Linked DNA regions of Macaca fascicularis. The protein of the gene in region 1 interacts with the protein of each later gene in a pairwise test. Links are inferred from orthologs where the notes say so. Each region holds a gene or a part of one and is shown on either strand. Other genes may lie near its edges. The genes, in order: BLMH and NUDT12.

Region 1 (16,640 bases):
AATGCTCTGTGAAGTGCTAGCACCTAGAGCAGTGACTAGCAGAAATGTTATATCCAGAGGTGAGAATAATGTGGGTGTAAACATCAAGAACATTGGATCAACATTCAAGAACATTGGATCATGTTTCAAAAAAACCCCAGACATAATCTACAACTAATGTTGAATATGCTGAAACATTTAAAACCTGAATCTAAAGTTCTCTGGGCTTAAGGAGGGGTCACAGGGTTGGGTTAAGCCCACATGGAGTTTAGGAGTGGCAGGGAAGGTGGAAGTCAGAAAGCTGCCAGTTCTCCTGGACTCAGATGAGTGCACGCCACATTCTGGAGAAAAATTATAGTGAAGGGATATAGGCTCCTTTGGGCCCCAAAAGCCCCAGGATCCAGTATCTCAAAGTTTTGGCAGGGTCAGCACCTGCTAGCTTTGCTCATCTTAGGGAGGTGGGAATTACAAGGATAAGAATGGGGATGATAGTGGAAAGGGAGAAATAATTTTCCCAAACTCCACCCAGGTCATTCTAAATCAGGGGTTGAAAACATAAATATCCACAGGCAATAAATGTAACACTTTTTTTCCCTCTTTTGATGCAGAAATTACTATCACGGGAAAACAACAGTATTTTTTTTTCTTTATTTTTTTTTAACAGGGTTCGGTTCTGTTGCCCAGGCTGGGGTGCAGTGGTGCAATCTCTGCTCACTATAACCTCTGCTTCCCAGGCTCAAGCCATTCTCCCACCTCAGCCTACCAAGTAGCTGGGACTATAGATACACACTACCACCACCTGGCTAATGTTTGTATTTTTGGTAGAGATGGGTTTCGACACAGGATTTTTCTCGGCCACTTTGCCAGCCAGAGACCTCTGGCCAGTGATGCCCCTGCCCAGGCCTCGCTTGGCACTGGGTTTGTTGCAGGAGGCACTCAGCCTACTCGGCCCATAGGCCGTGCCTGATTTGTGCTCCAGCACAGATCCCACAGGCACCACAACTGCACGCTCAGCCCCCAGTGGGAAGGGATGTGTGGGTGAGCAAGTGCAGGGTCTGGCCAGTAGCTCCAAGTGCTGGCATAGGAGAGGCTCCATGTGGTGCCTGTGGTTGAACCACGCCTGTTGCAAGAGACTCCTGTGGTGGACTCTGGCATCCAGGTGAGGGGAACGTGGTGGTGCCCAAACAGGGAAGCCTGTGACCCTGAAGCCCCAGAAGAGTGTGTTACAACACACTGACAGCTCTTTTAGTCTAGGGTTAACCATTCTGTCAGTCCCACTGCCCTGCTCTAGCCCATGGCTCTGGGGTTCGCTCAGCCCTGCCTTAGTGGGGGGCAGCTGCTAGGTGCCAATGTGGGGTAGAGGGCTACAGTGTTATTGCCTTTTTGTATTTGCATTCAGCAGGGTCCTGAGTTTTTGTCCCACGTCCAAGAAGAATGAGACTACGCTGACAATCAAAGGGTGAGAAGGATGGAGAAGAGTTTTATTGAGCGATGAAATACCTCTCACTAGAGAGGGAGTGCGAGAATGGTCCCCCACCTGAAGTTGGGTGGTCTCTCTCCCAGGGTGGCTGGGTCCAGGGCTTTTATGGGCTCAGAATAGGGCAGTGTGTGCTGATTGGTTTGTAGGTATGGCAAAAAGGCTAAAACAAAGGCACAACAGTGTAAAAAATCAATTAGGGAAGGGTAGGTATATGTAAATTATGTGAAGGATGGGGTTCAGTCACAGGAAAGCATGCCAAACAGGAAGAGGGGTTCTCAATTCAGTCCATGGATTTATCCAAAACTTGTAGCTTGGCTTTCAGGCTTTAAACTGTCTTTGGCTTGAAGGTGTGATTTCGCTGGGGACCCGCCCTTATCTGCTTAGGCATTTGACTACCTATCAGTTTCACCATGTTGCCCAGGCTGGTCTTAAACTCCTGGATTCGAGTGATCTGTCTCCTCGACCTCCCAAAATGCTAGGCATGAGCCACTGCACCCAGCCAAAACAATAATATTTTATTTTATTTTATTTTATTTTTTTTTTTTGAGACGGAGTCTTGCTCTGTCACCCAGGCTGGAGTGCAGTGGCCGGATCTCAGCTCACTGCAAGCTCCGCCTCCCGGGTTTACGCCATTCTCCTGCCTCAGCCTCCCGAGTAGCTGGGACTACAGGCGCCCGCCACCTCGCCCGGCTAGTTTTTTTTTTTTTTTGTATTCTTTTAGTAGAGACGGGGTTTCACCGTGTTAGCCGGGATCGTCTCTCGATCTCCTGGCCTCGTGATCCGCCCGTCTCGGCCTCCCAAAGTGCTGGGATTACAGGCTTGAGCCACCGCGCCTGGCCAACAATAATATTTTAAAGAGAAGCCAGCTACCCGGATTTGTATCCAAAACTTCCCAATTATAAATATTGTCTCAAAAAAATTTTTCTAAGACAGGGTCTTGCTCTGTCATCCAGGCTGGAGGGCAGTGGCATGATCATGACTCACTGCAGCCTCAACCTCCCAAACTCAAGCAACCTTCCCATCTCAGACTGCCAAGTAGCTGGGACTAAGGTGCACACTATCACACTGACTAATTTTTGTATTTTTTATAGACACAGGGTTTTGCCATGCCATGTTGCTCAGGCTGATCTCCAACTCCTGAACATTCTGCCTGCCTCAGCCTCCCAAAGTGCTCGGATTCCAGGCATGAGCCACTACCCCGGCCAGCTCAAAAATTTTAAATTACCATGCAGGCCAAACAAAATGTCTCAAAGCTGAATTTGCTCCAATAGGTTACCGGTGTGTGAACTCTGAAGTTGACTATCACGTCTGGTGAAATATAAGAAGGCTTCTCTAACCAAGGCAAATCTTGGAGTAAGTGGGACAACACTTAAGTATGAATGAGTTTCATAGAATTGGAGAATGTTTGTGTTAGATTCTAGCGTAGACTTCCATTCAACACAAAAACCTGGTCTTTTCTATCGAAATAGAAGTAGTTGTGGCCAGGCACAGTGGCTCACACCTATAATCCCAGCACTTTGGGAGGCCACCTGAGGTCTGCCCACTTTGTGGGCAGATCACCTGAGGTCAGGAGTTTGAAACCAGCCTGGTCAACATGGTGAAACCCCGTCTCTACTAAAAATACAAAAATTAACTGGGTGTAGTGGCCAGGCGCCTGTAATCCCAGCTACTTGGGAGGCTGAAGCAGGAGAATTGCTTGAACCTGGGAGGCAGAGATTGCAGTGAGTCGAGATCGCGCCATTGCATTCCAGTCTGGGAGACAAGAGCGAGACTTCATCTCAAAGAAAAAAAAAAAAGAAGTAGTTGACAAACACATGTCAAAGATTGGTGGACAGCAAAGGAGGAGACACAGGGTGTGCAATCAATTTGCCTTGAGACTGGCCTTGTTTGCTTTAACTTGGTAGAGTGGTGTGGAAGCAACAGGCAGAAGGCATGTCTGCTGTGGCAGATGGTGCTGCCTCACAGGATTTATAAAGATTTTCTTTTCTTTCTTTTTAGAGACAGCTGAGTACAGCAGTGTGATCATAGCTCACTGCACCCTCAAACTCCTGAGCTCAAGTGATCTTCCCATCTCAGCCTCCTGAGTAGCTAGGTCTAAAAGTGTCTGCCACCACATTCAGCTAATTTTTTTCTAAAATTTTTTCTTTTTTTCTTTCTTTTTTTGTAGTGGTGGGATTTCACTATGTTGCCCAGGCTGGCCTTCAACTCCTGGCCTTTAACTCGAGGCAGGAATCCTCCCACCTCAGCCTCCCAAAGTGCTGGGATTACAGGCAATATTTTCTTTTTTAATATTATGGACTTCATACTAGAATTCTGTTTCTGGTTGCCTTGTCCCATGAGGTGTCACTGGGCTGTACAACATCTCTTCTGGCTGGAATAAGAGGGCTAGAACATAAGAATTTTCTTCTTGGAGAAATGTCTTCCTGGGTGGGTCATTTGGGGGCAACCCACTGGGAAACCAGTTTTATTCTGTACCTCCTCACCATGCCCACATGGGGGCTGAGTGCATGGGTGTGAATTGCTGGGTGGAAATCTGGTAATAAGGGTGCCACCCTGATGATGAGGACAGAGCAGGATGCTGGCAAAGAGATGATGATAGAAATCTCTGGGCATGGGGTGGAGAAATGTAATCGCCAGCATGGAAAGGGTGGCAATAGCTGTAAAACTGGTCCCCTCCACCTTCCCCAGTGATTCCATCTCCTCCTGAGCTCTTACTCTTGCAATTGTATCCTCTCTGACGTATATTTAATCTCTCATCTGTACTGATTCCTTCCTTTCATCCTCCAGTAGACATAAATTTACCCTTTCTCCCCAAAGAGCTTCCCTAATATTTACCTCCCTCTCAACTCACTACAATGTGGCTTCTGCCCACCCTTCCCCTCCACTAAAACTGCCCTCTCTAAGGTTGCCTGCAACCCAGTTGCCAAAACCAATCTTACTTGACTCTCTGCAGCTTTTAGTTCAATTCACTGTCCTCGCCTTGCCTTCCTGGGATTCCAGGACGTAACTCCCCAGGTCTCCTACTTCTCTGACTGCTCTTTCTAGTTCTGCTGGCTCCTCTGTTTTCATCTATACTTTAAACATTATCATTTTCAGAGCTAATGCTACCCCCATATGGCATCCTTATAAGAAGTCATGAAAGGGGCCGGGCAAGGTGGCTCACGCCTTTAATTCCAGCACTTTGGGAGGCCGAGGTGGGCGGATCACGAGGTCAGGGGTTCAAGACCAGCCTGGCCAACATGGTGAAACCCCGTCTCCCTTAAAAATACAAAAATTAGCTGGGTATAATGGTGCGTGTCTGTAATCCCAGCTACTCAGGAGGCTGAGGCAGGAGAATTGCTTGAACCCAGGAGGTGGAGGTTGCAGTGAGCCGAGATTACACAGCGAGACTCTGTCTCAAAAAAAAAAAAAAAAAGTAGTGAAAGGTACATCATACTCTGTGCACAGCCTTGGCCAGGGTGCATGGCTTGGCAAGCAGAGCCTGGACTGCATTTTAGTCTCTACTCACCACACTCAGCCTGGTGCCCTTGTGCCATGAACACCCTGTGCCACTGCACATTGCAGCCCAGGGCACTATCTGTGGTCTTCATCTCTATCTCACTCTATCCTGTTTCCCTCTGTAACCCTGCTGACTTCCATGGTTCCAACTTGAACTTATGTGTCTCACCTAATCTCTAGGTATCTTTTCATCTACCTCCTGAACTTCTCTTCCTGGGTGTCCTGTGGGCATCCTAATGTTGCTATAGCCCAAACTCAGTTCAGATCTGCACACTTGCAAATATGCAAATATACCTATTTTTCTGTATGCCCTCTCTTGGTTAATGATACCACCTTCCATTTTCTTATTCAGCTGAAAACCTCAAGATTATCGATGCCTCTTCCCTTTCTGCAATTTAAGGCTTTTGTCCTCTCCCAAGTTCACTACTGGAAGAACCTTCTAGGCAGTTTCCCCATCTCCAGAGCCTCTCCCCTCCAAATCACTCTCCCCACTGCCACCAGGTTTTTTTTTTTTACACGGACTTCAGCATGTTTTTCCTTTGTTTCAAAACCCATTTTGTCTTCTAATTAACCATAAGATAAAGTCTAGATGCTCAGGCATTGCACATAAAACCCTTTATATCTTGGCCCAAACTCACACTTTTCCAGTCCTACACCTTGCCTCTGCTCTCAACACATGCCTTGCTCTTAGCCACATCCGATTATAATGCACCCTTTCTCGAACATGATTTTATTCTCTGTGCCTTCGTTGGTGCCTTGAATGCCCTTCTCCTGTTCTTTAACTTATAAAAATCTCATCCACTCTTCAAGATCATGCTCTCTTGTCACTTCTATTTTCAGGCACCCTTTGGCCCTAATTGATGGTGCTCTCCTCATTGCTTCTACAGTCTACAGCGCTATTGGTATGCTACTACAGAGAGTCTAAAAGTTGTTTTGCATTTCTTTCCTACTACACTGAGCTTCTTAAGGGCAAGATTAAGTTTTGTTCATCTCTATGTCATCGGTAGTTTGTCCAGTGCATAGTACATGTTAGATATTGAATAAAAATTTATTATTTGAATTGGACAGGATGCTTGAACATCATTTTGTGAAAAGACCAGTGATTTCTTTCTGTATAATTCTCAGCCTCTTCTTTTTCAGATATTGAAAGAACCTCAGAATACGATGGTTGATGGGCCCACTTAAAATAGTTGCTATGTTATAGCCCCAATTTTTAGCTGAGTCTCTCTAGGGACATAGAAACTGTGCTTTCTTGAATGACTGGTGCCTCAGTATGGATTTTTCCAGATATCAGAGTTCCTTAGAACTGCGATGGTTTTCAACCTAAGAAGACCTAGATTCTAGGTTACACACACACACACACAAAACCTTATTGTTTTGAATAGCAGATACAGGGTTTCAGTGTTTTTGTTTTACCCTCTTTGGGTTCTAGCCCAACATCTTACTAAGGGCTGAGATTTCGGGGCATGAAAAACGGAATCAACAAAAACAAGGTTTTTACAATCTCAAAACTTTGGGAAACTGTTATCTTGAAAGCCTAGAGGGGGAAGCATCAGTTAGTTTTGTAGAGAACTCGGCAAAACAATATTGAGGCATAAGGCTAGCCTCTGTCATCCTCCTAGGTTAAACCCAACGGGACATGCTGGACTATACAGGAGACACTCGTGAACTCCGTTAAGACCAAATGGGTAGCGTTCTTGAAATGAGCAGCTGTCTATTTGTAGAACTCTGGTAATAGCTTTGGAGTGGGTGGGAAAGAGCTTGGTTCCAATTTCCCCTCAAAGACAATTATTTGCTTCTGACGAGAATCCAAGCAACCAGTTGCCATTGAGAATGCAGTGATTGGTCAGCAAACGAAGCCTATAGGAAGAGCCTTCGGGTGCATTCCTTGTGACCCGTCCTAAGCCTGATGCTTAATTATGGGACCTCTCAGCTCCTCCCTCCCGCCTCGAGCTCCCTTTTGGCTTCTCACAAGGATTCCTGGGGACGATTCCCCGATGCTAGAGTACTTGGGGTCTGGGCCCGTAGGGAACACGTCAGCCTCCCTCCTCGGAGCGGGCCTGATACCGAGAGGGCGCTCGCGCGGCCCGGAGGCGGGAACCCAGGGGGCGAGGGCTCCGGCACCGCCCTGCCTCGCAGAGCAACTGCGCGGTAGTGCGCGGGGGCAGGCGCGGCCTCGGGCCCCCGGCACTGGCTGACCCAGCGCGTCAGCGAGGCCGCCCCCGTCGGCCCTCCCCCGGGCGGGGCCAGCCCCGACGGCGCTGAGTCAGCAACGCGAGGGGGGAGTTTTGTCCCTCCGCGGACCCCGTTTCTCCCGGCCTCAGCCTCCCCGCCGCCACCACCAAGCCGGTTTCCTTTTTCCGGCGCTCCGGGTGCGAGAGGCAGGTCCGGCGCTTTAGGCTGGGAGCCGCAGCGCAACCCCGGCGCTCGCCCGAGGACCCTGGAAGCTACCGTTACGCCGCCGGGCAGCGTGGGCGCCATGAGCAGCGCGGGTGAGGTGCCGCCGTCCCCCGCCGCGGTCCTCTCTGGAGGAGCTCCGCGGTCCCCGTGAGGCCCGGCGGCGGGGAAGGCCGGGGGCTGGGACCCTGGGCGATGGCGGGGAGGGAGCTTTCGGGGCGAGCTGGAGCGGCCTGGAGGGAGACAGCGCCTTGGAGGAGGATGCAGCTCATGGGCTTCCCCGCTGCAGCGGGCATCCCAGGATGCGCCTACGAAGTTAGATCCGGGACGCGGGAGCCCCAGATCAGCCCTCTTCCCCCTCTTTTTGGCGTTAAAATCCCGTTTTGGTCTCCCAACAGGACTGAATTCGGAGAAGGTAGCTGCTCTGATACAGAAACTGAATTCTGATTCCCAGTTCGTACTTGCCCAGAATGTCGGGACCACCCACGACCTGCTGGACATCTGTCTGAAGCGGGCCACGGTGCAGCGCGCGCAGCATGTGTTCCAGCACGCGGTGTCCCAGGAGGGCAAGCCAGTCACCAACCAGAAGAGCTCAGGTGTGGGCTTCAACTTCTCCCATACTTTCCTTGACCTTCCTGACAGCGTCCCATTTTGGTGTCTTACTTGAGAGTGGTCTTAAATTCGTACTGAAAGAACTGGTTGTAAATTCTTAGAGAGTGAGGCACAGGTACAGGCAGGTCTAAGAACATTACCAATGTGGTTTGTTTTGGTGTTCTGTGGCTTGTTAGCACATGTGGTTAGAATACTAAAGTGACATGTCCACGAGTATACGTTTGAGTGTAATTGACTATATTATGTTCCGATGTTTTGTGGTTTGTAGCCCATGTTTTGGAGATACATGGTTTTGGTCACAAAACAGAATATGTGAAAAGGTTCATATCCTTGGAGGACTCCCCAGAAACGCCCTGAAGGCCCTATACTATGAAATAGAAAAGACACAATGTAATTACATTAAAATGTCATCAGATGTTACTTTTAAATTTGTTTCTTGGTTACAGTTGACGCTAATGTGCTGATGGGCTCAGTTCCCACCAGTAGATCAATTTGTAATACAGAAAAAAGTTCTATTCTCATGCCTTACTAGTCAAGAAGTCTCGTTTTGCTATCTGCTTTCTAGCACCACTCTCAGAAAAAAAACAGGTATAGTGAAAGATTGGATATCCAACAATCTAAATAAGGAGCACATTCTCACAACAAAATTGTACTAAAAGGATTTTTTTAAAGTCTTTATCTACTTGAAGACCCCCAGTCTATCTATATGGACAGGAAGCACATCAGTGCTTGTTTAGAGTCGGTCAGAACTCACAAAGCACACATTTAACTTGAGTACATTTTATTGTATGTACATTTTACCTGAATAAAGTTGATTTTTTAAATGTTAAGGAAAAAATCAAGACCTTACAATAATTAATGTTTTGCTCTAGAAGAAAGTGCTTGGAGTGGTATGGGCTCTCAGGCTACAGATGATACAGTTAGTAATGTCACAGTGGTCCTACATAGTTTAGATTGCAGTGACTTGTTAGGGAACAGGTCAGGTCTTACACATTTTGCAGTGTCACTTTTATATACAAAAGATCCAAATAGCATGTGAGCTATGTAGTTTATTTTCATGCAGTTTTCACATCACCAGTGCATCCAGATCCCTTCTACTAGAAATATATAGCATATAGAAGAGAGGTGACATACAGGTAAATCTAAGGTAAAGACTAATAGTAAGGCACTGGTGACTTTCAAAAAACACTGTAGTTAACTAGAGTTTTCTTCTTGTTACAAAATTATTTTTGTTTAATGTAGAATATTTGCAAATACCAAGTGAATATTTTTCCTGTATATTTGTCAGGTCTGTGTGTGTGTGTGTGTGTGTGTGTGTGTGTGTGTGTAATGTGGATTGATACCTTATGCATTGTTATGTAAGCTACCTATCTTTTTCACTTACCAATATATTATAAACGTATTTTCATATTAGTAAAAAAGTTATACCCAATACAAGTCAAAGATTTTCCCTCAGAATTTTCCTTCAGAAAAGAGATAATTTCCCTATATTTAAGACCTTAAAGGATTTTTCTAATGGGCGCTCTCAGTTACTTTATTTTGAAGTAGAGTACAATTTGGAGAAGACGTTACTCTGAAAAACCTCAGATGCGTACTACCTTTGCATGCTTACAGAGATCCTTTGATTGAATCAGCTTTTTTTAAAAGGCGACAAATTAGAATAAATTGATGTTGCATATCATTGTAAATAGACCTTTTAAAGATCATGTAAGTCAGAACAGGAAGTGGTGATAATGGAGTTTGTGATTATACACATACAGGACAAATGAAGAATCTGATTATATAGTTGATGCTTGGCATAGAATTTTCAGGGACAGCATCATGCATGGATTCAAAACATTGACTCAAACATACTAGAGGAAGAGAGATGACGTGTGCTGACTGAAAGAGTGGATCTAATGATGGCACAGACACTGATGGCTAGGTACATGTGAAGAGTATGAATCAGTGTGGAAATGAAATGTGAAGTAGGAAAAACAGTACTTCTAAATCAATTTATGTTAACATGATTTTAAGTATATATTTAAATTTATAAAATATTGGCCGGGTGCTGTGGCTCATGCCTGTAATCCTAGCACTCTGGGAGACGGAGGCAGATGGATCACTTGAGGTCAAGAGTTCGAGACCAACCTTGCCAACATGGCAAAACCCTGGCTCTACTAAAAGTACAGAAATTAGGTGGGTGTGGTGACACGCATCTGTAATTCCAGCTACTCAGGAGGCTGAGACATGAGAATCAGGAGGCAAAGTTTGCAGCGAGCTGAGATTGCACCACTGCACTCCAGCCTGAGTGACAGAGTGAGACTCTGTCTCCTAAAAAAAATTTATTAAAATATTATGGGTAGACAATTTACTATTCCTATATGTTTCGAAGTGTTTATAAAATCCAGTTAGGGAAATATCTCCACTTTTTTGGCTTATCACTAGGAGAATGGAGTATTGACTTACGTTAAGGTCAGCCTATACGGAAGCATATACAATCACCCTATATTGAAGCATATTGGAACGCATATTCCAGATTAAAGGGTAGGGGTTTTTTATTTTTTATTTATTTTTTGAGACGGAGTCTCCCTCGGTCACCCAGGCTGGAGTACAGTGGCACCATCTCGGCTCACTGCAACATCTGCTTCCTGGGTTCAAGTGATTCTCCTGCCTCAGCCTCCTGAGTAGCTGGGATTACAGGTGCTCGCCACCTTGCCTGGCTAATTTTTGTATTTTTAGTAGAGACAGGGTTTCACTATGTTGGCCAGGCTGGTCTCGAACTCCTGACCTCAGGTGATCCACCCGCCTCAGCCTCCCAGAGTGCTGGGATTACAGGCGTGAGCCACCGCCGGATGGGTAGGGACTTTTTAAAGCTTTTGCTAGGTACTGCCAAATTGCATTCAGGTATTTTATGCCTATTTAGATTCCTATCGAGATTGATAATGATGTTTATTTCCCCAAATGAAATAAGAAATGATCTTTCCCCACTTAACAGGTGTCTTTATCATTAACTTTTACAACTGCTTCTTTGTCATTTGTATCTTTTTTGGCCACTGAATGATCTATTTGTGGTCTCTGTTCACAGTTTTCTAGCTATGTTTCTTTTTCTAATGTGATTTTCTTGGGTGATATGTAATGGATTCTTTATTTTATATGTAAAGAGTGTTTTTGTGTTAAAGATATTAAACCTTTGCACATATATTGCTAATAATAATTACCACCTTTCTTGTTTTGTTTTGTTTTTAATTTTTCTGCTCTTTCTGATTTACTCTTTCTGAATTGTCCAGATCTTGTCATGAGTTCATTGGTGGGAAATAACAGTTGGAGCAGTGCAGTCTGTGTGAACCCTCATAATTTCTTGATGTGCTTTCTTGTTTCAGGGCGATGCTGGATCTTTTCTTGTCTGAATGTTATGAGGCTTCCATTCATGAAAAAATTAAATATTGAAGAATTTGAGTTTAGTCAATCTTACCTCTTTTTTTGGGACAAGGTAGGGGACGGATCTGGCAAGATTCTTTTTGTATTGATTTCAGCGTTGGTAGAGACTGCCTCTTCATTTGTTGCTTTTCCATTTATACCCTGCCCTTTCATAATGGGTGAGACACCTTTTATTCTGACTTCCAGAGTATCAAAAGTTGACTCTTTCAAAGGCAAGAACTGTTTTTGGTTGGTAGGTGGCTATATTTTGCTTGTCTATTTAAAATTTTAAATTTTATATTCAATATTCAATTCAGTGTATCTCCCTTTTTAACATCTTTTTAGGTTATTTGTTCTTTTCTAGGACCTAATTTCCCTTCTCAAGTACTTGTCTGAAAAACAGTAAATAATGTTATTTCGTTGTTTATTTATTTATGTATTTATTTATTTATTTTTTGAGACCGTCTCACCCTGCCACCTGGGCTAGAGGGCTGTGGCACAATCTCAGCTCACTGTAACCTCTGCCTCCCGGGTTCAAGCCGTCCTCTCAACTCAACCTCCCAAGTAGCTGGAATCACAGGCACATGCCACCATGCCCAGCTAATTCTTGTATTTTTAGTAGAGACAGGGCATTTCACCATGTTGGCCAGACTGGTCTCGAACTCCTGACCTCAAGTGATCTGCCTGCCTTGGCCTCCTAAAGTGCTGGGATTACAGGTGTGAGCCACCACTCCTGGCCATATTCCATTTCCTAATCTTCAAAATGTATATTACTGGCCTGGTTTAGTGGCTCATGCTTGTAATCCCAGCACTTTGGGAGGCTGAGGTGAGAGGATTGCTTGAGCCCAGGAATTCGAGACCAGTCTGGACGTGGCAAAACCCCGTCTCTACAAGAAATACAAAAATTAGCCAGGTGTGGTGGTGCACACCTGTCCCCCCAGCTACTTGGGAGGCTGAGGTAGGAGGATTGCTTGAGCCCAGGAGGTTGAGGCTGCAGTGAGATTGTACCACTGCACTGCAGTCTAGGCAACAGAGCATGACCCTGTCTAAAAATAAATAAATAAATAAACAAAATATATATTACATAGGTGCTCATTAAATGTTTATTGATTAAAGACTTTAGATATCAGGTTTTGTTTTAGCATTGAAATGTAAACACTGTACACATATACGCAATATATTGGAATACATACACAAGTATAAGAAACTTCACATATTCTGATGAAGTCAGATACTGATGTTTATTTACCAATTTTAGTTTAAAAATACTTATGGTTCTTGTTTCAGCATCCCAAATACCCAAACTGGAGTGATACAGAAAAGATTAGCATGACCTCTATACAAGGATGACATGTAAATTCACGAAGGGTTCATGTTTTTAAAAATAAAACAAAAAACTATTATGTTGATTCCTTAGTAATTCCAAGACTCCCATTCTGTTGATAATGCCAGTAAAATTACTAACTCTTTTTTCTTTTAATTTTATTTAACTTTCTTTACTCTTTAGGTTGAGCGCTGTTACTTCTTCTTGAACGCTTTTGTGGACACAGCCCAGAGAAAGGAGCCTGAGGATGGGAGGCTGGTGCAGTTTTTGCTTATGAACCCTGCAAATGATGGTGGCCAATGGGATATGCTTGTCAATATTGTTGGTAAAAGTTCTTTCTTTAATGGAACTGAAACTCAGCGTGATTAAGTAAGCCTGTAGTTAGACATGGGCCATTTCTTTGGTGGTTATGTACAGAGTAGAATTGGTCTCCAAGAAGGTTATATCGTTATTTCTGAGAACCTTTAGTTCACATTCTCACCTATAAAGTGCCTTTCTTAAATGAGGAGTAAGGAGAGAGCTACTGTGAAGGATGGGTTGGAGAAGAAAAGGTAGTATTAAGTAGAACTAATTTTCCATGAAAAAATTGTTTTCTTCTCCATTGATGTAATCAGGAAACACGTGAAAACTGTAGCTGTTTTAAAATGTCTTCAAAACATCTTTTGGGGAAATCTCATCATGCTGAGCACTTCACAAAAGTATGATAGATACACTTCATCTTGACCAAAAGGCTGAGAAATGACAAAGCATAGTAGATAAAAAGAATAGAATTAATTCTAACATAGACAGATAAATATGCACATTAAAAACCTACTTAGGCTGAGTAAGGTGGCTCAGGCATGTAATCCTAGCACTTTGGGGGACCAGGGCAGGAGGATTGCTCAAGCCCAGGAGTTCAGTACCAGCCTGGGTAACATAGTGGGACCCTGTCTCTACAGAAAATAAAAAAATTAGCTGCACATGGTATCATGCGCCATAGTTGTGCTACTCAGGAGGCCAAGCCTGGGAATTCAAGGCTGCAGTGGGCCAGGATTGTGTCACAGCACTCCAGTCTGAGTGACAGAGCAAAACTCTGTTTAAAAAAAAACAAAAAAAAAAAACCCTGCTTAATAATATGAAGTATAAGATTTTCTGAATTAAGCCAGCAAAATATGGCCTATTTTTTGAAACAATCACTATTTTTGCCAGGGTTTCTAATCTTTTACCTTATTTAACACTGAAATTTGTTTTCTTTTAGAAAAATATGGTGTTATCCCTAAGAAATGCTTTCCTGAATCTTATACAACAGAGGCAACCAGAAGGATGAATGATATTCTGAATCACAAGGTACAATATATGAAGCAGGGTTGGATTGAGTTTAGTGTACTTTCCTTAAAACTTACTTTTTAGAAGGGGTTCCTGGGTATTTCAGTGTATACTGTTTGTGTACAAGATAACTATTGATGTCAATGTCTGTCAAAAGCAATGTAGCTACATAATAACTTTAAAAATAATTAATATTAGAGGGTTTTTGCTTTTAAAAAACTTCCACTTTTATTTCTGTTGATGTTAATGTCTTCTTAGGGGGATAGTTAGGAAATAAAGTCCCATGTCCAATTAATACTGGCCGCAAGCACTCAGGATGCTGTGTCTCTCACTTGGTTCCAGTGGAGGTGGACTAGAACTGCTTTATGTGCTAGTAAAACCAAAAGAACTATTCGCAAGATTCCTTAAAGAGTGTGCTGTGTTCTGAGACTTCCCCAGACCACATCAATGTGGTTTATCCACCCACTAAAGATTTGTTGTAGTTATTGAACTGCTTTTTATTTGCTTCATTATCTTAATGAATCATTGTGTCTTCTCTACATAACCAGTTTTCCCGAGGAGAATTATAATTCCTACGGGGATGCTGCTTTTCTAGCCAGGCCTCGTTTTTGAGAACTAGGAGTTGCCAGAATCTGCTGTCCTAATCCATGAGGCCAAAATTGGATTTTTCATCTCCCTGGGAGAAAGATTACATTTTAAAATAAACTATAGGTGTGTCTCCCCAACATTAGAAGTGGGCTATTTTCCACCCTGGAAACGCTGGGGATTTTTATCGAAAGGCTAAAAGATCATTAATAATATGACATTTGATTCCATTTGAAGTGAGAGCAACAGCTTCTTTAGCACTGCGGTTAAATTTCAGACTCACCTTTATCTTAGTGAAAAAATGAAATGAAAAAATGAAAATTTTATTGGGGGCTGGCATAACCATAGTCATAGTCAGTTGGCAGAGAAGGAAAAATGGACAGCTATTGAAATTCTTAAGTAAAAATCTACTAGAGTAACATAGTGGCATAATTGTCTCCTGCTTTTTCTGAGTGATAGGCATTATGTAATCATGTGTTTTCCCCATGCCCAGACACATAAAACATCTTTATATGATGTTTGCAGAGCAGGAGCAGTTCCATCTAGTATTTTGGAGGAATAATGTATGCCTTTGCTCCTTATGGAAAGCATTTTTAGCTATGTGTTTAAGTGGACAAGTTGAAGAAAAACACATTTGCCTTTATGAACTTTGCCACGGGTCTGGCCTGAGTTATATTTCAAAATAGAACTTGCGTTGGTCTATGAGACTCATTTAGATTGAATTTGGGTAACTGTTGGAGTGCTGAATAAGTTTCTGTCATAGATGAGAGAATTCTGTATACGACTACGGAACCTGGTACACAGTGGAGCAACCAAAGGAGAAATCTCAGCCACACAGGATGTCATGATGGAGGAGGTAATAACAAAATTTGGATTTTTTTGTGACCCTTCTAAACAACTCTCAGAATATTCCCATCTATTAAACTAATGATTAGGAAGCTTTAGTCATGGCAACGAACGTTTAGTTGAATTGAAAATTACTTATTTTACACTGAAAAAACTGAGATTAAAACTTACTTTGCCTTTTAGTATAGGACTTGGGCTTAGGTTTTCTAATGGCTGGTTGAGTGGTCTGTATAATCATTCTTTTATCATTTCATAAATGCTAAATACGCTCTATGAGTTTGGCACTGAGGAAACAGGTGAGAAAGACATAGTCACTGCTCTTAAAGAGCTCAGTCTCTTGGGAAAAACACATCTATAATTAGAATAAATCCTATGCTAGATGTGTAAAACTGATTTGGTGGTCATAGAGCAGGAAGTGACTAGCTCAGTGAGCTGAAGGTTTCATAGGGAAGATAGCTCTTGAAAGAGTAGTCAGAATTTACCAGGTAGATAACAAGACCATTCTAGGCAAAAGGAATTATATGAACAGTGCCATGAACAGAGATAGAACCTTCAGGGAATCGTGTGGCTGAAACATAACTTTTGTCAGTATGATGGGTAGCAAATTAAGCTAGAAAGGCAGAGATAATAAGGGATGTTGGATAGATGCCAGAACATTTGGCTTCTTTCTGTAGAAATAAAGACAGGGAGTTATTGATGGTTATATTTGTTAAAATAATGTATGTAAAAACATTTTGGAAAATGTAAAAATCACTAAAATATGTGGTGGTAATATTATTTATGATCAAGACAGTTAAGAATCTTTATTATTAATACTATCCATGTCCAGAATGAATATGCATAAAACTGAAATTGGTTTGAGGAAAGAATAAATGTTTGTCAGCCAGTGGGCCCTTAATTAGGCTTCGTTTCAAGACTATGGAGTTAAAATGGCCTACTTTTTTTTCCACTGCGGTGGAAAACACGCAGTGTTTCACTCCTGTTTTCCTTTAAATTTTAGAGACGCAGCATAGTGGAGTAGTGGAGGGTGTAATCTCTGAAGTCAGGCTATCTGAGTTCTAGTCTTCTCATTACTTAATAGCCATATATCCTGGGACAAGTTCCTTAAGCTCTAAAGACTCCGTTCATGTTTAACATGTCTAGCCTAGTGCTTGACACAATAGCTGTTTCTTAAATATTTGTTGAGTGGACGAATGCAGAAATTTCATTTACCAA
Region 2 (15,860 bases), on another chromosome or scaffold:
AAAGAAAAGTTAAAAGTATCACTTCCACCAATGAATACAACTATATATAGATATCCTTCAGTAAAAATAGAATGAGTAATTTGCCTCTTGGCCCAATTAACATGTCCAAACATTCATCCCATAGTTGAAAATTCATTTTTTTTTCCTCAAACAAGAATTCAGGCTGCTGATTACCTGTTTTCCCTATGCCATCCTTATTATTTAAATGCCCTTTCTTTTGACCATTTCTAGTTTTGGGCAAAAAAAATGGAATTACTTGAAAATCTATCATATATAATAAACTTCACTCCCTCTTTCAGAAATTCTTTTGAATTCTATTCTGATTGTCCTGGAAGGATGGTAGGTTTTTAGTATTTAGTTTATGTTCACAAGTAATTCCTCCAGTCAGTGACTAATTTTGAAGGTGCAGGTACTTGGCAACATTATTACCCTTACCCCAAAATACAGCCTGTCTCTCATCTGCTCCTGTGGGGTTAAAGCTCTCAGGCATCTGCCCCCACTTACCAAGCACCCTTCCTGCACAGAATATCAAACTTCCCTGCCTTTTCCAACCTCTTGACAGCTACTCTTGCTTAGCCTCAGGACCTAGATCTTAAATATTTGAAGACAGAAACTCCTACTTTTGCACATTGGATTTACTTTGTCCTACACATTTTTTTTTCTAATAAACAGCCCGTTTTAACCTCAACAAATACACACATTTCACTCAATAGCTACCACCCATCTTTCCCTCCCTCCCTCCCTCTCTCTCCCAGAACCTAACAACTGGGTCTCAGCCCTAATAAAATTTGCACTGTGAAAATTTTACTCTAAATAATTAATGGATTTGTTTTATGGAACATTTTCACTTAATATTTTATTGTATCCATGTTAGCAACACAGTTCCAGGACCAGCCATCTATTGTTGTTATATGTGGGATTTAATTTAGTTTATTTCGTTTATTAACAAACTTATTCTTCCTCCTTCCATCTCATGGTCTCTCCCTTTGTTATTCTATTATTTTCTGTCTTCAGCCAAATCCCTAACCGGGTCTTTAAAAGAATTTCTCATTTTTCCAACTGAATGAAAGATGTGGGCTTCTAACTCTTCATGTTCCATCAACATGTGAAAATGTCAAAATCCAACAATTAGCAATATTAGACAAGTAATAAAAATAATACCAGATATATTGCTTTAAACCTGAAGAGCAAAAACTATTGACTTTATATATGTATGTATGTATATGTAAGTCTGTTTGTATTTGACCCCAAACTATATTTTAAGATTCAAATGAAAGTTTTAAGTCTCCCAAACACAGACACTTTAAAAAGGCTTCTGCATTTTTTGTACACGTCATCAATTCGAAACAGGTTAAGAACTGAAATTAGGCTTTACTCATTTTTCAAGAGACTTGTCAAAACATGTTAAACACACACACACAAAACAAAATCAATTTTAAAAATTTATTATGACATTCATTTCCAGTAGAATACACTCATGGCACTACCACGTCTACTATTCTTTTGAATTGGCCATTCCTTCTATTTACATAGCTTTTCACCTCTCAGAGGTTGGCAATTTAAAGTTGTTATTAAAACAATAATTTACTTTGATGTTGATTTTTCCCCAAGTAAGGATTAAATATCTAAAACAAAACGTATAACCACACTTGTTGATACTTTATATTCCACTTTCCTATCTTAACATTATGACAACCTGGAATTTTACAATGTAATCTTAGAATCTGTAAGTATTAAAAGTACATTTGGAGTAAAACTGAATTTCAAGACGCTCTGTTTCATAATAATCAAGGTACATTATTTTCCATATACTTATGTAGCTCAAATTTTATTATGTATCTAAATGTCCTGTGTCAGTTTTAATTTGGTTTAAATTCTTGATACCAATAAGCCTTCATCAATTCCTAAGAAAATCACAGCTCATTAGTAAAATGAAGTTTTATCTGACAGTTATTATTTAAGTTAAATAAACATTAAGTATCTAAAATTTTAATTAACAATATTTTGTAAGTTAAATTTATTCTTATCATTCCTTCTTTTAATTCTGTCTATTATATTTTTAGTAATAGCTTCTAGTTCCTATTACAGGGAGAATCGTCCTCTGCATTATATAGTACAGACTGCTGTAATTAATTAGTTATGTAACTTTCACTAATTAAGTAAATTCACCTTTCACAATTTCTTTTTCCTTATCTATAAAATAAGGAAAGTCAATTTCATATATTATCCTTAAGGTCTCTTCCAGCTCTAGCATTCATTAGTAAAGATCCAAATTATACAAATTTTGATATTCATAAACTATAATAGCTATTAAATCAATTTCAAAATAGCCTTATAAAATGTGACTTTCTATGTTGCAAAATTGTGAACTACTATGTTTTGCTTTCTCTAGAATCTTACTGATTCAGCTCTAAAATATACTTATTTTATCAAGGCTTCTTAGAATATGTTGAAATAAGGTCAAAGCCAAGATATATTTGAGCATAATAAATATTATTGGTAATGATTATACGATTTTTTGCTAATGCAGATACATCACTCATCACGAAATGAAATAAAGCCAATGTTTTCAATTAAATATGTAAATCTGCCTGGGACTTATTTAATATCCGACCTTTCAGGAGAATTCCTTTCAAGTTTAATTTCAGTGCAAAACCAGAGAATCTTGATTTGTCTTAATAACAGCTTTAGGTATAAGTGACATATAAGTAGATGTGTCAATTAATTTTAGGTTTAAAAGAGAGGTCCTAGATATAATAGTATGCTTTTCTCCTTCCAGGAGGGTGTGGTACTGAAATCTCTATTAGAGTTAATTATTAAATCTCTATTAGAGTTAATTATTAAAATAAGAAAATTCTTAACACTGGTCAAATTAGACAAGTGGCTACACTATAACACCTCCACTGCTAGAACAATGGAACCCCCAGGAAAGAGCAAGTGGAACTACAATGGGGAGATCAGCAAAAACCAGATACTGATAACTTAAAGATAACAAAAGGACTAAAAAATCAATACAAGCTAATACAAGCTAAAAATTCATTAAAACTTTTTGTTTCATTTCTCAGATCAAGAACTTTCGTCATCAATTTAATGCTTATAAGAGGCACTGAAATTTACGCACATTTCTAGAACATACTTCTTTCCAACACGATGTCTCTTATTAGAAAAATGGTTTTCTGAGATAAAACTGAAGAACAATGAAGAAAAAGTTCAGAGAAGGCTGACCCAGATTTAACATAATCTGAGGCAATATTGTAATTTGTAAAAATATGAATTTGTGATTAAGACAGAAGAACATTTTGAAAATATTTCCAAACCCAACATGATATTCTGTGTTGTGACACTCAAGAGTACTGAATAATCTCTAATATCACTTAAGGAATGAGTGTTATTAGAAATTATTAAATAATACCCAAAGCTTAGTTCTTAGATTTAGAGATTGGGATTTATTCTAATCCAGTGTTTGATTAATTGATGTGCAATAGCTCGGCTTGGTGGCACAAAGAATGCCTGCTGCTTCCCTTTGGTCAGAACATCCAGGACCTAAAATACACCATAACAGAATGCATTAGGATTTCAAAGCTGTCATATTTAAATACTATTCCCATACTTACATAATTCAATTAAAATGTGATGAGTTTTACGGGGAATAACAGTAGAAAGTGACAACATCCATATTTACAGGCAAAGTTTTTTTTTTTTTTTTTGGAACAAGGTCTTGCACTCTGCCACCCAGACTGGAGTTGCAGTGGTACAATCATGGCTCACTGCAGCTTTGACCTCCTGGGCTCAGGCGATCCTCCTGCCTCAGCCTCCCAAGTAGCTGGTACCATAGATGCACACCACCACACCTGGCTAATTTTTTAAAAATTATCTGTACAGACAGGGTCTCCCTATGTTGCCCAGGCTAGTCTCAAACTCCTGGGTTCAATCAAGCTTCCTGCCTTGGCCTCCCAAAGTGCTAAGATTACAGGTATAAGCCACCACGCCCAGCCTCAACATGCAAAATTTAGTACAGCATTTTTAACTCCTTCACTGAGTTAGTGATTCAATTTTTAAAATGTTCCAGAAAGACACATTCCCTTATGAAAAATGACATCATGAAAAAGCAAAATGTATGCTCCACACTTAATTTCTAAGTGAAGCCAACTTTTGAAACAGATTCTTTTTTATAAAATTCATAAGCAATAATCTAAATTCCATCTTTTTGGATTAAGCATAGAATAAAATTAATTTTATGCAGGCAAAGTCAGAAAGAATTTCAGGTCAGATGAGTAATCCATCTTTCAATATATTATTTAGGAATGGCATTTTAAAAAGTTATTTTAAGTGTATGTTTATTATACAGTTATGTCATTCTTGGCCTTAAGTACATTTTAAGATGAATAAAAACTTTCTGAAAATTTTAAGCACTTACTGATGTTTTTTGAGAGCCACTTGTTTTAATGTTATAAACTAAAATATAAAAGGTTTGAGAATATTCCTGTTTCTCATCTATGAATTAATGTTTAAGCCCACTGATAGGAACTATTAATGTGTAGGAATGGAATCTAAAATTCGAAATGGTACAGAATCATCTCTACTAGAAAAATCTCACATATAGATCACATTAGTGAAACATACTCCTCTTGTATGGAATTACTAATTACCATGTAATCCATGCATAATGAGAGGGCCAAAGCCATCATTCAACTTGCTGAAAATATGCATCCTTGTTCTGTGCCCAAACCAATACAGTCAGGGAACAATCAATAGAAGAAGGAAATTAAATTGAACTTTACCTGTTCTCTAGTGAACCAGCGGGCATCCTCTATTTCATTCTTGTCAACTTTAATTTCTGTAGACACTGCCACAGCTAAGCAACCAATCATTAAGGAGGAAGGCATTGGCCATGGTTGACAAGAGACATACTGAACATGGCCAACTTTGACTCCACTTTCCTCTTCTACTTCTCTTCTAACAGCATCTTCTATTGTCTCTCCTAATGAAATGGAGCAAAAGAACAAGTTGCTGATGAACATGCGCTGGACATTTTGTGTCCTGAATCGTTCAAACATCTGGAAATCACTTTGGACAGAAACCCAATTCAAATAATCAGAAAGCAGAAGCCTAAAACTAGACTGTAATTGAAGAAAACATAAATTTTTAAAGTACATGACCACATAAAGAATATGAAAATGCCAACAATAAACTTTTCATTTTTTTAAAGATCCAAATTTGTCAGTTACATTTTAAAAATAATGATATCATCTAAAAATATCCAACACCTAATATTGGTTAAACACTATGCAAACACTTTATATCTGATCTCATTTATATATTGTCCACTAAATAGATATAAATTACATGATTTTTACAAATAGCTCTTTCACACTAAAATTTTCAAACTCGTTTTATTATGTTGTCAAACAATTATTGCAGGTAACTCTTTTCAGGTCATGAAAAGATTAAAAACTACATAAGATGAAATTTAATACTTTTTCTAAGCAATTGTTTTCCTCTAGATGACTGCTGACTCTGCCATGATAAAATAAACTGATGCCTATAAATGTACTTTATATTTCTAATTTGTTGGATTTAAGAATTAGAATAGGTGAAATCATTTCTAAGTAAAATCATTTTTAACTAAATCTGGAAGTTTAGAAACATTTTGCTAAATATTGCTGTATTTAGCAAAATATATTTTAAATATAGCTTTCTATTTCAAATAGATTGATAAATTTCCTACACGAAAATTAACAACTTACAATAATCAAGAGAACACATATAGTAAAAATATAATTATAGACTAGCATAAGATATTTGCAAAACTATAACAAAAGATTCGCATATGCTACATATTTAAGAATTCTTAAAATGAATAAAAAAGGATAAACAATGAAAACAAAATTAGGTAAAAGACAAACATCTAAAATTCAGAGAAATGAAAACTGAATGCCTAATACACATTTGAAAAAAGATGTTCCATCGGCAAGAAAATGAAAACGAAAACGCGATACAATTTCATTCACCCCTCAGAATGACAAATTTAAAAGTCTGAAAAATCCTAACTTGGTGAAGATGTGGAATAATGGAACATTTCATGTTCTGCTGGAGGAAGTATAAATTGGCAGAAGCACTTTAGAGACAACTTGGCAATATACAGAAAAGGGTAAGATGCTCATATCACATAAGCTGGTGGTGCTACTCTGTGTATACAATCTAGATAACTCTTGCAAGTGTGCACAAGTATAAAAATATTAATTGCAGTGTTGTTTGTAATAAGAACTTTAAATGTCCAATCAGCAGAAGGGATAAATAATGGAATATTCATGAATGGATTACTACCCAGCAGTTAAGACAATGACAATGACCTAGAACTACTAAAGACATTATAGGGATTTGCAGCAAGAACTCAGAAGCCAACATGCCCAGGTTTAAATCCCTTCCCTATCACTTATTCGCTGTTTGAACTTGAGCAGATTATTTCGTCCCTATGCCTTAGTGCCCCATCTGCAAAATCACTGTAATAGTGTATTTTATATGGTTGTATGAAGATCATACAATATATATATATATAACACAGCCTGATACTGTTTTATATATATGATATGATCCTTCTCCAGAACACAGCCTGATACTGTGTGTTTACTATTATCTAGTAATGCAAATATTGGAAACGGAAATTGAGATAAAACATTTATTACTTAGACATATTCACTCCACAAACATTTACTGACCTACTACATGTGCTATAGGCATGTGCTATGAGGGTTTCATACATAGCAGTGGATAAAATAAAGTCCCTGTGCTAATGAAACTTATATTCTTGAGACAGCAGATAATAAATTAATAAGTACATACGTAGTATATTAGGTGATGATGAGTGCCCTAGGGAAAAATCAGGCAGGATGATAGGGATTGTGAATGCAGGGTATGGGGGCTAACTAATGTATCTGGGGCAATTAAGTAAGGCCTCTTCGAAAAGGTGACAGTTGAGTCTAGTACAGAAGGAAATGAGGTGGAACCTAGATACCTGGGTCAAGAGCAACATATCAAAGAGCAAATACTGAATTTTTAACAAAGCAGATCCAATTACTAGGAAAAGCAATTTATGTAATTCTCATATAAAACATAAGAATTACATGTTTAAACTATTATTGAAATTGTATCATGTTTAAAATACTTTAACCCAGTTTTATAACATAATTTATCAGAGATTATTAAATGTTATCTAAACTTTGTATTTTGAAATCATAAGTTAAATAGAAATTATTAAGAAAAGGCTTACCAGGCTCAATAAATCCAGCAAGGCAAGTAAACATGCCTGGGGGAAATCTTTTCTGCCTGCCTAAAAGACATCTGGTCCCATCTGGATGAATAACTTGCATGATTACTACTGGATCTGTTAAAAAAAAAACATATATCTGAATGGCAGGAAACACGAATTTAGATTCATGTGCAAACACTGTCTGATAGGATAAAATAAAGGTGTATCTCCTATAGGGATAGAACCCTCGTCTGGCTGTAAGAGATTGCTTCTTTCTGCCCTAATGTAGCTGACAACAGAGTATCTCAGCGAAATTGTACAGAATAGTGTCAATAAGCTAGCAGAAGACCATTTTTGTCCTTCTTCCCCCAATCTTAACAGCAACATTTATTCTGTACTTATGGATGTTAGGTGTATTGTTATTTTAATGAGAAAAACTTTGAGTAGGTAATACATGCAAATAAGGAAAATTCAAATTTTACCACTGTAAATAATTTCCCTCTCCCATCCTAACCCTTAACAAAATGTTTTTAAAAGCTAATATGGTTCTATGATTAGATTTAAGTTGTTAAATAAAATTTAAATAGCAGTTCATCTCTCTAGAAGTTACTAATTCAGCAAATTCTTCTCACTATATCATGACTAAGAACTAGGAATTAAATGTAAAAAGGTCTTGAGCAACAAAAACAGATGTCACTAAGCCATGTTATTTTTCTCCCCAGAGGCCTCCTCAGGTGTTGCTGAGCCTACCTATCGTTTTTTCACACAGTTTTAAAGGTCTGGGTTATCAGATTTCCAAACCTACGGCAGACTCAAAGCAGCAATTAGAAGAGAGAATACAGGCAGACATTAACAGTAGTGAAAAGCTAGCCAGGCTGTACTGCTATGGTAATGCCTCAAACAGGCAAGAAATTGTTGGGGCTTTTTCTCCATTAAGTGGAGCCACACTGGTTGACTTTTGAAATCATGTATCATAACATATCAGGTTCATAGTGAGTAACCCAAAGTTAAGAAATGGCTATTGAATGTACCATGTTTTTTTACTTAAAAATCATGAAAGTATGTTACACTTTAACACTTACATTCTTAATGGTTAGACATGTTTTCCATAAAAAGGAAAACTTTTCAGCTCCTCACAAATTTTCTCTTTCCAGAATATCCTATTCCCCAAGATCCAGGTGGCGGAGATATAAAATAAAGGGCTTACCAACTCTTGGGTATGATGTATTATGAACGCCATTGAGACTAGGACAGTCTTCTTTTAAACATACTCTCTTATATCCACCTTCTTCAATTTTAGTTCCATTTCCACAGGTTGGGCAAAACTTATATCGACTGTGCCAGGCAAGAACAGATCTTGCTTGAGCTACAACCCCTTCAAAAAAAAAAAAAAAAAAAAAAAAGCACAAAAATTTAATTACGTGATAAAATCAATATATAAGTAAAATATTCTCAAGTTACAATAAGAATAGCTATGTGATCAGGTATTTTAGTGTTTCTATTTTTATAACGTGTATTTTTCTTTTAAAGTAAAAGATTTAATTTTCTGGATGACAAAAATTAGATTCAAGTTTAGTTTGAATAAAATATAACTCTCATATAAGATAGAAGTACTAACATCTATCTTACATCATACATTAGATCAGGCTTTTAGTGTAGGTGATTTTAAAAGTTGGGGTATTCATGATTCTAGTGTAGAGTAAGTTTACAAACAGTGATTTTACAATAGTGATTTTAATAAAAATATACCACAAAAGCAGTTCTTGAGATTTGTATTCTAAAGGAAATATTACCAGGAAACCGTAGGAGGCTATCACCACTCTCTTGGTGACTATGCCATTGATGGTCGACGCTGTGTGGAACAGAACCTATTTTCAACGGGAGACTGCATGTACACAGTATAAAACACACTGCATTTACTATGTTCATGGTTAACTTTGTTTACCAAAAAATGCCTAATAGGATAAATCTTAAAATATACACACTTTAGCTATAGGTTTTACTCTGGTAGTTCAAAAAAGAATTAATACGACCTGGCCAGAAATATTACAGTTGAGGCAATAAGACTAGAAGTGCTGTATTTTAAATGCTTGACAAAGTCACCTCCCTAAAATACATTATTTGGTCTACAGATTTTTGAAATGAACAAAATAATAATTAAAATTCTAACATCATTTAAACTGGGAAAAATAAACATAAAACAGTTGTAATGAACAGACAACGTTACATTTTTGCCTGCTACCTAACCTTATAATATGTAACATGCTAGGGTATTTACATTATTTCAGAATCATCACAAAAAGAAAAGCTAACATTTATTGAGTACTTACAATGTTCCAAGCATCATGCAAGGAATATTTATAGATTATCCTATGTTTAGAGCAACCCTAAAGAAGATAGGTACTATTATTATTTTCTGTAGGAGTAAACTGAGTCACAGAAAAGTTAAGTCTGTATAAAGTTATAGAGCAAGTGAGTTAAAAGGCCTCAGTTTTCCTACAAGGGAAAAAAGCAAGCAACTAGCTCATTTATCATATCTTTTTTATCTTAAAGTGATATATACATGTCTAAAGAAAGTAAATTTTCTTTAAAAAGCTTGACGATTTCTACACAGGTGTGTAGAATAAAACATACCGCATCACACTTTGAGACAGAGATATTTAAGCAGTCTCTGGCAGGACCTCTATCACCTAAGGGAATGTGGTCACTGACAAGTGACCTCTTCCTAACTTCCCATTAACTTATCAATCTACCATAATCTGGCTTCCGTTCCTTTCACTCCACTGACATTTCTCTTGTCAAGTTCATCAATAGCTTTATATTACCAAAGACAAAGATTCTTTTAAAAAAAAAAAAAAGAAAAAAAAAAGCCCCACAAAACTTTGCCTTCATCTTACTCAAGTTCATAACAGCATTCAATACATTTGACCACTCCCTCCTGGAAATATGCTGCTGTCTTGGTTTCCCTGAGGCCTCTTGGTCTCTTCCTACCTCATGGCCACACTGTTTCCAACTCCTTTGATGGCTCTCCTGCTTGCAGCTTACCTTTAAATGTAGGGGGATTCAGGTCTTACTCTGAGAGTTTTTCTTGCTTACTCTCAACTCTCCAAGTAATCTCAGTAGTTTTTTGGGATTTAAGTATCTTTGTGTTGATGACTGCCATATGGGTATTTCCAGTTCAGACATCTGATTCTAATGTCCATTTCTAAAACTTAGTATGCCCAAAAGTAAACTCTTGATTTATTTACTCCAAGTTTATCCTGCTTTCCTTGCTCTACCCATCATATTATTAATGGTATCACTATATACCAAATTATTAAAGTCTCTAGCCTAGCAGTCATTCTTAATCTTTTCCTTCATTATTATATATCCCATATCCAATAGCAAAGACCATTGATTTTATCTCCAAAATTTATCTTGCATATACCCTCTTTCCTCCATTTCTACTATCAGTACCTTAATTCATGCCATATTACCACCATCTCTCACTTACAAGGGTCTCAACCTACAGATCAAGCCCTATCCATTCTACCTCGAGAATATCTCAAATTCTCCCTTTGTCTCCATCTCCACTGCCTCCATTCTAACTCAAGCCATTGCAATCTCTTACTTGGGCAATTGTAATACTCAATTACTTCTTAACAAGACTCCCAACTTTCACACTTACTTACATGTGTGCAATTTATGCTCTATGATGCAGTCAGTGTGCAGTGCAGTGTTTTGTTTAAAAAAAAAAAATTTAAATACAGGTCAGGTTACATTTAAATGGACTTTAGAATCAAACTCTAATTTCTTACCATGCCATAAAAAGCCCCAGCAACAGAATACAAAACAAATCAAAACAGTCAAGGTCTTTGCCATCATGTTCTGTGTGTAGCAGGAACTCAAGAATTATTCACTGAGGAATCAAATGAGATCATCCTGCACCAGTGTTAATTCTCAGGAAATCAGTCTGGGCTGATTAGAACTACTAACTGCCCAGGAGAGTAGTCCCCTACGGTGAGAACTTTAGGAGGTTTCTGATGAAGGCAGTCTAATTTCACTGCTCATTGGAACAAAAGTGGCCCTGGAAAGTGCAAATACATACAATTCCAACTCAATTCTAAAAACCAGATTTTACCAACAAAAAGCAGCATTCATTTCTTACCAGCTTCTTTTTCTTTCAATTGCAGAAGGGCTGGCATAGGAGGATGAAGAAAGTAACAATTTTCATGTCTTTGCTTGAATTCTTCAGCAGCAATAGGATCTATACCTAGAGCAAACCAGGCAACCAATCCATCTTCCTCCTCTCTCGGGACTTCACCAGCATAATTAAGTAGCTTGTCTTTCATTTCAAGTTCCACTCCAAGAAAAATCAAGGTGATCTTCTCAGGCTGGGCCAAATAATCCTTTATATCTTTGTAGTTCAGCTGACAAAGCCTAACTTCTGGTTGTTGGAAACTTTCTTTATTGCCACCTAGAGTAACCAAGGGATTTAAATCTGAGAAAAGAATAAAAACTGTGGCTGGATGGCTTTCTTTAGCTAGTAGCCAGTCAGCATTATTTCTCTTTTCACTCTTCCGGTCCAGTAGTGTTTTGCTAAAATAATTTTCACATTCTTCCACTTCATTCGTTAGGAACCAAGGCTTCTTCCCACCTTTAGCAGTAGCTAGTAAATTAGCTATATGCTTATAACCCCAAAATACAGCAATATCCAGTGCAGTCTGCCTTGATTTATTGACAATTGATCTGTCACACCTACAGATGGAAGAAAAAATGGGGAGAAAAAGTAAAATAGGAAGTAAACACTTTCTCCTGTATTTGTTTCAATAAAATATTTCCAGATGCACATTCAAGTCCTTCTTTTTAATGATTACATAGATTTTTTTTCTTGTGTTACATAGTTTACTATTGGGAGGATTAGAACAATAATCATAAATGACAAAAAGAGACAGTGGATACTTACACTTTCTGGATAATTACTCACAAAATAAAACAGCATTAAGTTTTATGTACTATAAAGAGATACCAAAATTCTACAAGAAGTCCTTGGTAGTCATAGTGAGATCTGCATTTTCTATTTGGGAGAAAAGTTTATTATTAGACTCCTCATAAATTTGCTTTGCTATAAAGTAATAATTTCTCAATGAAAAAGGTTACAAAGTTTTAAGTTAGAAAAATTGTGCTACATGTTTACATAAATTAGCCAATGAGTTATTTAGTAGTTCAACAATATAAATATGGAAACAAGCAAAATTTAAAAGTAAATATGTAACAAAGAAATTAAACCACAAACCCTTTCAGGTGGTACAGCCTAAAATGTTTACCCTTTCTCAAGCAGAAATTGGACAATCTCTGGGTGCCCATTCCTTGCTGCATACATTAAAGCAGTCCAGCCATTTTCAGAAGTTTCATTGAGAAGAGATGGAGAATGACTGAGTATTCCTGTTAACTTGGCAATATCTCCTTCAGCAGCTGAACAGTGAAACTGGGTAACTATTTCTTGCTTTGGACTTCTTTTTACAGAAGACATTTCTTCCTTAAAAGAAGGAAAATAGGGGGAAAAAGCTTATTTGCAACTGCTTTTTTGTCAATGAATGATATTGTTAGAATAGCAGCAATGGTTTCCAAGGCAATATACTCTTCAAAAGGCAATCATTAAACAGCATACATTTCAATTTCAAAATGTTATCAGTTTAGAATTACAAATACAATGAAATTTATATGCTCATGGGAGTTACACAAAATAATGTATAAAGAGCTTTGACAGCACAGACTAGGGGGCCATATCCTTAGAGGGGGAACCAGGTAACATATTACATAAGGATGAAGTATTTAGGGTACACCAGAGGGGACTTCATGATGAGGTGGGGACATGACAGGGAGAACATTAAAATAGATGGAAGTAAAGGCAGAGATTTTCTAAGTTTCACATGAAAACAGTTTATTGTTTGACCTTGCACAATTAATTCTGTAATCCATCTAGGATCTATTTTTGTTCATGGCGTGAGGTAGGGGTCAAGACACTTTTTTACCCAATGCATAATCCATATGATTCGGCATTATTCTTGACATTTCCATCTTTGTTGTACTGTACTGAGACAAATATTGTCACAAATCAGATGACCATATTATTTTTGGTTTTATTATTGGACAGTTCTGTTGATCACTTTGTTGTCCTTGAATCAGAGCAGCTTTTAAAACTCATTAACTTTATCTACTTTGTCCCTCTTTTCAGTGGTGGAAAACCCCCCCAAATAACTGCCCCACACATCTTAAACATTGCCTGATCATGGACTGCAGATAGTAGAGCACAAACTGAGCTTCTTTTTTTTTTTCTTTTTTGGTGGGGGGGATGGTGAAAATGGTTAATGATTCAACTGTCTGTGAATTTCTCAAAGTATTTTTTTAAGGTATAATTTTTCTTTCTATGAAATGCTATTAAGAAAAGATTTGGGATTCTAACTACATTGCTATTATTCTAAGCAATAAGATTTTTAAGCTGAAAAGACAGAAATGTTATAGCCCATAGTTTTTGATAGCTGCTGTCTCCTGGGTTCTGAAAGGGCAATCTGGCTGATGAATTGCATAGCTGGAATAGTATGAACAAAATTTAGGGAAAACAAGGAGTAAAGATTAATTTTCTTATTTTGGAGCTGTTCACCTTTCCTATTTGAGTCTTTCTGCTACTTATAAATAGGTTAAAACAGCTCAGAGTCATGGAAACACTTGGATAAAACCTAATAGTGGAAATCTGTTTAGAAATTACCAGAAGTAATATCTACATGAGAGAATAATTGACTTACTCTAGAATTTACTTTGCTATTCTTTTCATATTGAAATTTCTAAATACTTTTAAAATATTATGCATAACAAAAGCTTTAACTTTTCAGGACTTTATTTTGAAGCACTGCTGTACAGCTCCTGTACTGATCTCCCTTCAAATTGTCTTTCTCTTAAATTTATTTTACAAAAATCCATATTATAGTTTTTTCAGCTAGGTTTAGTTTGAATAATATTTCACTGTTTCATGTTCCAGGGTCACGGTCACTCCCTCACATTCTCACAGGCTGCGCTAGGTGACTGCAAAATTGTCCTTCAAAAGTACAGCGTCATTCACTACCTCCAGGGCAATGCTTATGCATATGCTATTCTGTGGAGATAGAAAGTGGAAAGTGTACACTTTTCCCTCTTGCTTTCTCAGCAGAAAAGCCATCTAGAGACAGTACCATTATTCATTCCAGAGAAGCACATAAACTCTAACACCCAATTCTACTGTTTGATTTACTTTTTCAATTCTCATTGGCAGGTTATAGAAGGTAAGGATTTGAAGGCAGAATAAAGTGCTGCCCTTGTTTTCCAAGAAGCTCAAGGACTATTCCGAGAAATCATTTAAAAGAATATTAGATTTAAAGGGACATACATTTTTAACAAACCAACATCCACTTTTACTGACGTGTAACCCGGGGCCCATGACTTGCGCATGCTCTCATAGACCGAGAGGGACAGGACAGGACATCAAATATTGCTCTGTCACTGAAGTCACTGACCATCAATTAACGAATTTCATCCACTCCCTGGGCACTCAAGACCAATTAAGCGCCACCTGTGCACGGTCTCGGAAAATTGTAACACGCCTTGAGATATTTTACTTTCTTGCCACTACTGTTAGGTTCCTTCTTTCGAGGTGAAATCACTCCCTAAGTAGCGCTTCCTTTTCCCCATCTCAGCTAGGGCAGGAAACTCTACTAACCTCAGGACCACCTGCGCCTCCGCCCTGTCCCGAGAGTCCCTGCAAATGCGTCTGTGGTTCCTGCGCCTGCGCCCACCAACCCACTACGAGGCTGCGCCACACTACCCTGCAGGGCCACTCAGAGCAGCGCGGGAACCAAAGAGCCCAGGGAACTGGTCACTGTCCCCAGAGGGGACACTGAGACGACTAACTCGCCGCTGCTTCTACTAACCCAAAGGTGACCACAGTAGAGGCGACCAGGATGCAGTCGAAGGATTGGGATATCGCAGTCGAAGGATTGGGATATCCCACTCGCTTTTCCTGGCGCCGGATGCAGCCTTCTCGACTTCCTGTGGCGATCCGGGGTCTTCCCGTGGCTTTATGGGAGTTGTAGTTTGAAGCCCACAGGTTGTGCGCAACCGGAGAAGGGGCGGAGATTGCGGGGGGAGGTGTTTGGGAGCCCGCGCGGGAGAGATTGAGGTCTAAAGGATTGGCGCTGAGTGAAGGTCTGAAAATTCTTTTCCTGAGACTGTGATGTATAGATAGAACGTGGTGCAGGAGATCGGAAAACCGTAGGCCTGAGGAAGCAATTATAAATTTCCCAGCGTCTGGCACCCAGCTCCCAGCCCTCTCTCCAATACAGTCCGGTGCAATTGAGTGCTCAAAGCATTCTTTTCTGTTAAATAATCTTGGAATATTGACTATACCAAGTCAGTCTTAAAAGAGATATTTGGCCTCTGTAACACCTTAATCAATCACCCCGTGTGAAAACTGGTATCATGTACTGACGCGTAACTCATTCATAGTCCTTTAAAAAGTATGTATCAAGCGCCCACACCACCTTCTTGGATTGTGAGGTTTACATAGGATAATACATCCAAAGCTCTTAGGATGTTGTGA

What was found.
Region 2: the proteins of BLMH (region 1) and NUDT12 interact in binary tests that used the Homo sapiens proteins (3 or more experiments, as listed by UniProt). The two-hybrid records come from large-scale screens. The link is inferred for Macaca fascicularis from reciprocal best matches to the Homo sapiens genes BLMH and NUDT12.

Annotation. Positions count from the first base shown.
Region 1 is NC_088390.1:35,796,814-35,813,453, reverse strand, and holds the start of BLMH (bleomycin hydrolase), read left to right. Parts: upstream 1-7,305; 5' UTR 7,306-7,436; coding exon 7,437-7,449; intron 7,450-7,752; coding exon 7,753-7,950; intron 7,951-11,328; coding exon 11,329-11,438; intron 11,439-12,637; exon of another isoform or gene 12,638-12,746; intron 12,747-12,872; coding exon 12,873-13,014; intron 13,015-13,926; coding exon 13,927-14,015; intron 14,016-15,342; coding exon 15,343-15,435; intron 15,436-16,640. UniProt on the Homo sapiens protein: The normal physiological role of BLM hydrolase is unknown, but it catalyzes the inactivation of the antitumor drug BLM (a glycopeptide) by hydrolyzing the carboxamide bond of its B-aminoalaninamide moiety thus protecting normal and malignant cells from BLM toxicity.
Region 2 is NC_088380.1:109,943,698-109,959,557, forward strand, and holds NUDT12 (NAD-capped RNA hydrolase NUDT12), read right to left. Parts: upstream 15,323-15,860; 5' UTR 15,193-15,322; exon of another isoform or gene 14,982-15,192; intron 12,768-14,981; 5' UTR 12,762-12,767; coding exon 12,556-12,761; coding exon of another isoform or gene 12,525-12,555; intron 11,987-12,524; coding exon 11,397-11,986; intron 8,625-11,396; coding exon 8,457-8,624; intron 7,385-8,456; coding exon 7,271-7,384; intron 4,982-7,270; coding exon 4,782-4,981; intron 3,544-4,781; coding exon 3,433-3,543; 3' UTR 3,188-3,432; coding exon of another isoform or gene 3,161-3,187; 3' UTR 1,430-3,160; downstream 1-1,429. UniProt on the Homo sapiens protein: mRNA decapping enzyme that specifically removes the nicotinamide adenine dinucleotide (NAD) cap from a subset of mRNAs by hydrolyzing the diphosphate linkage to produce nicotinamide mononucleotide (NMN) and 5' monophosphate mRNA.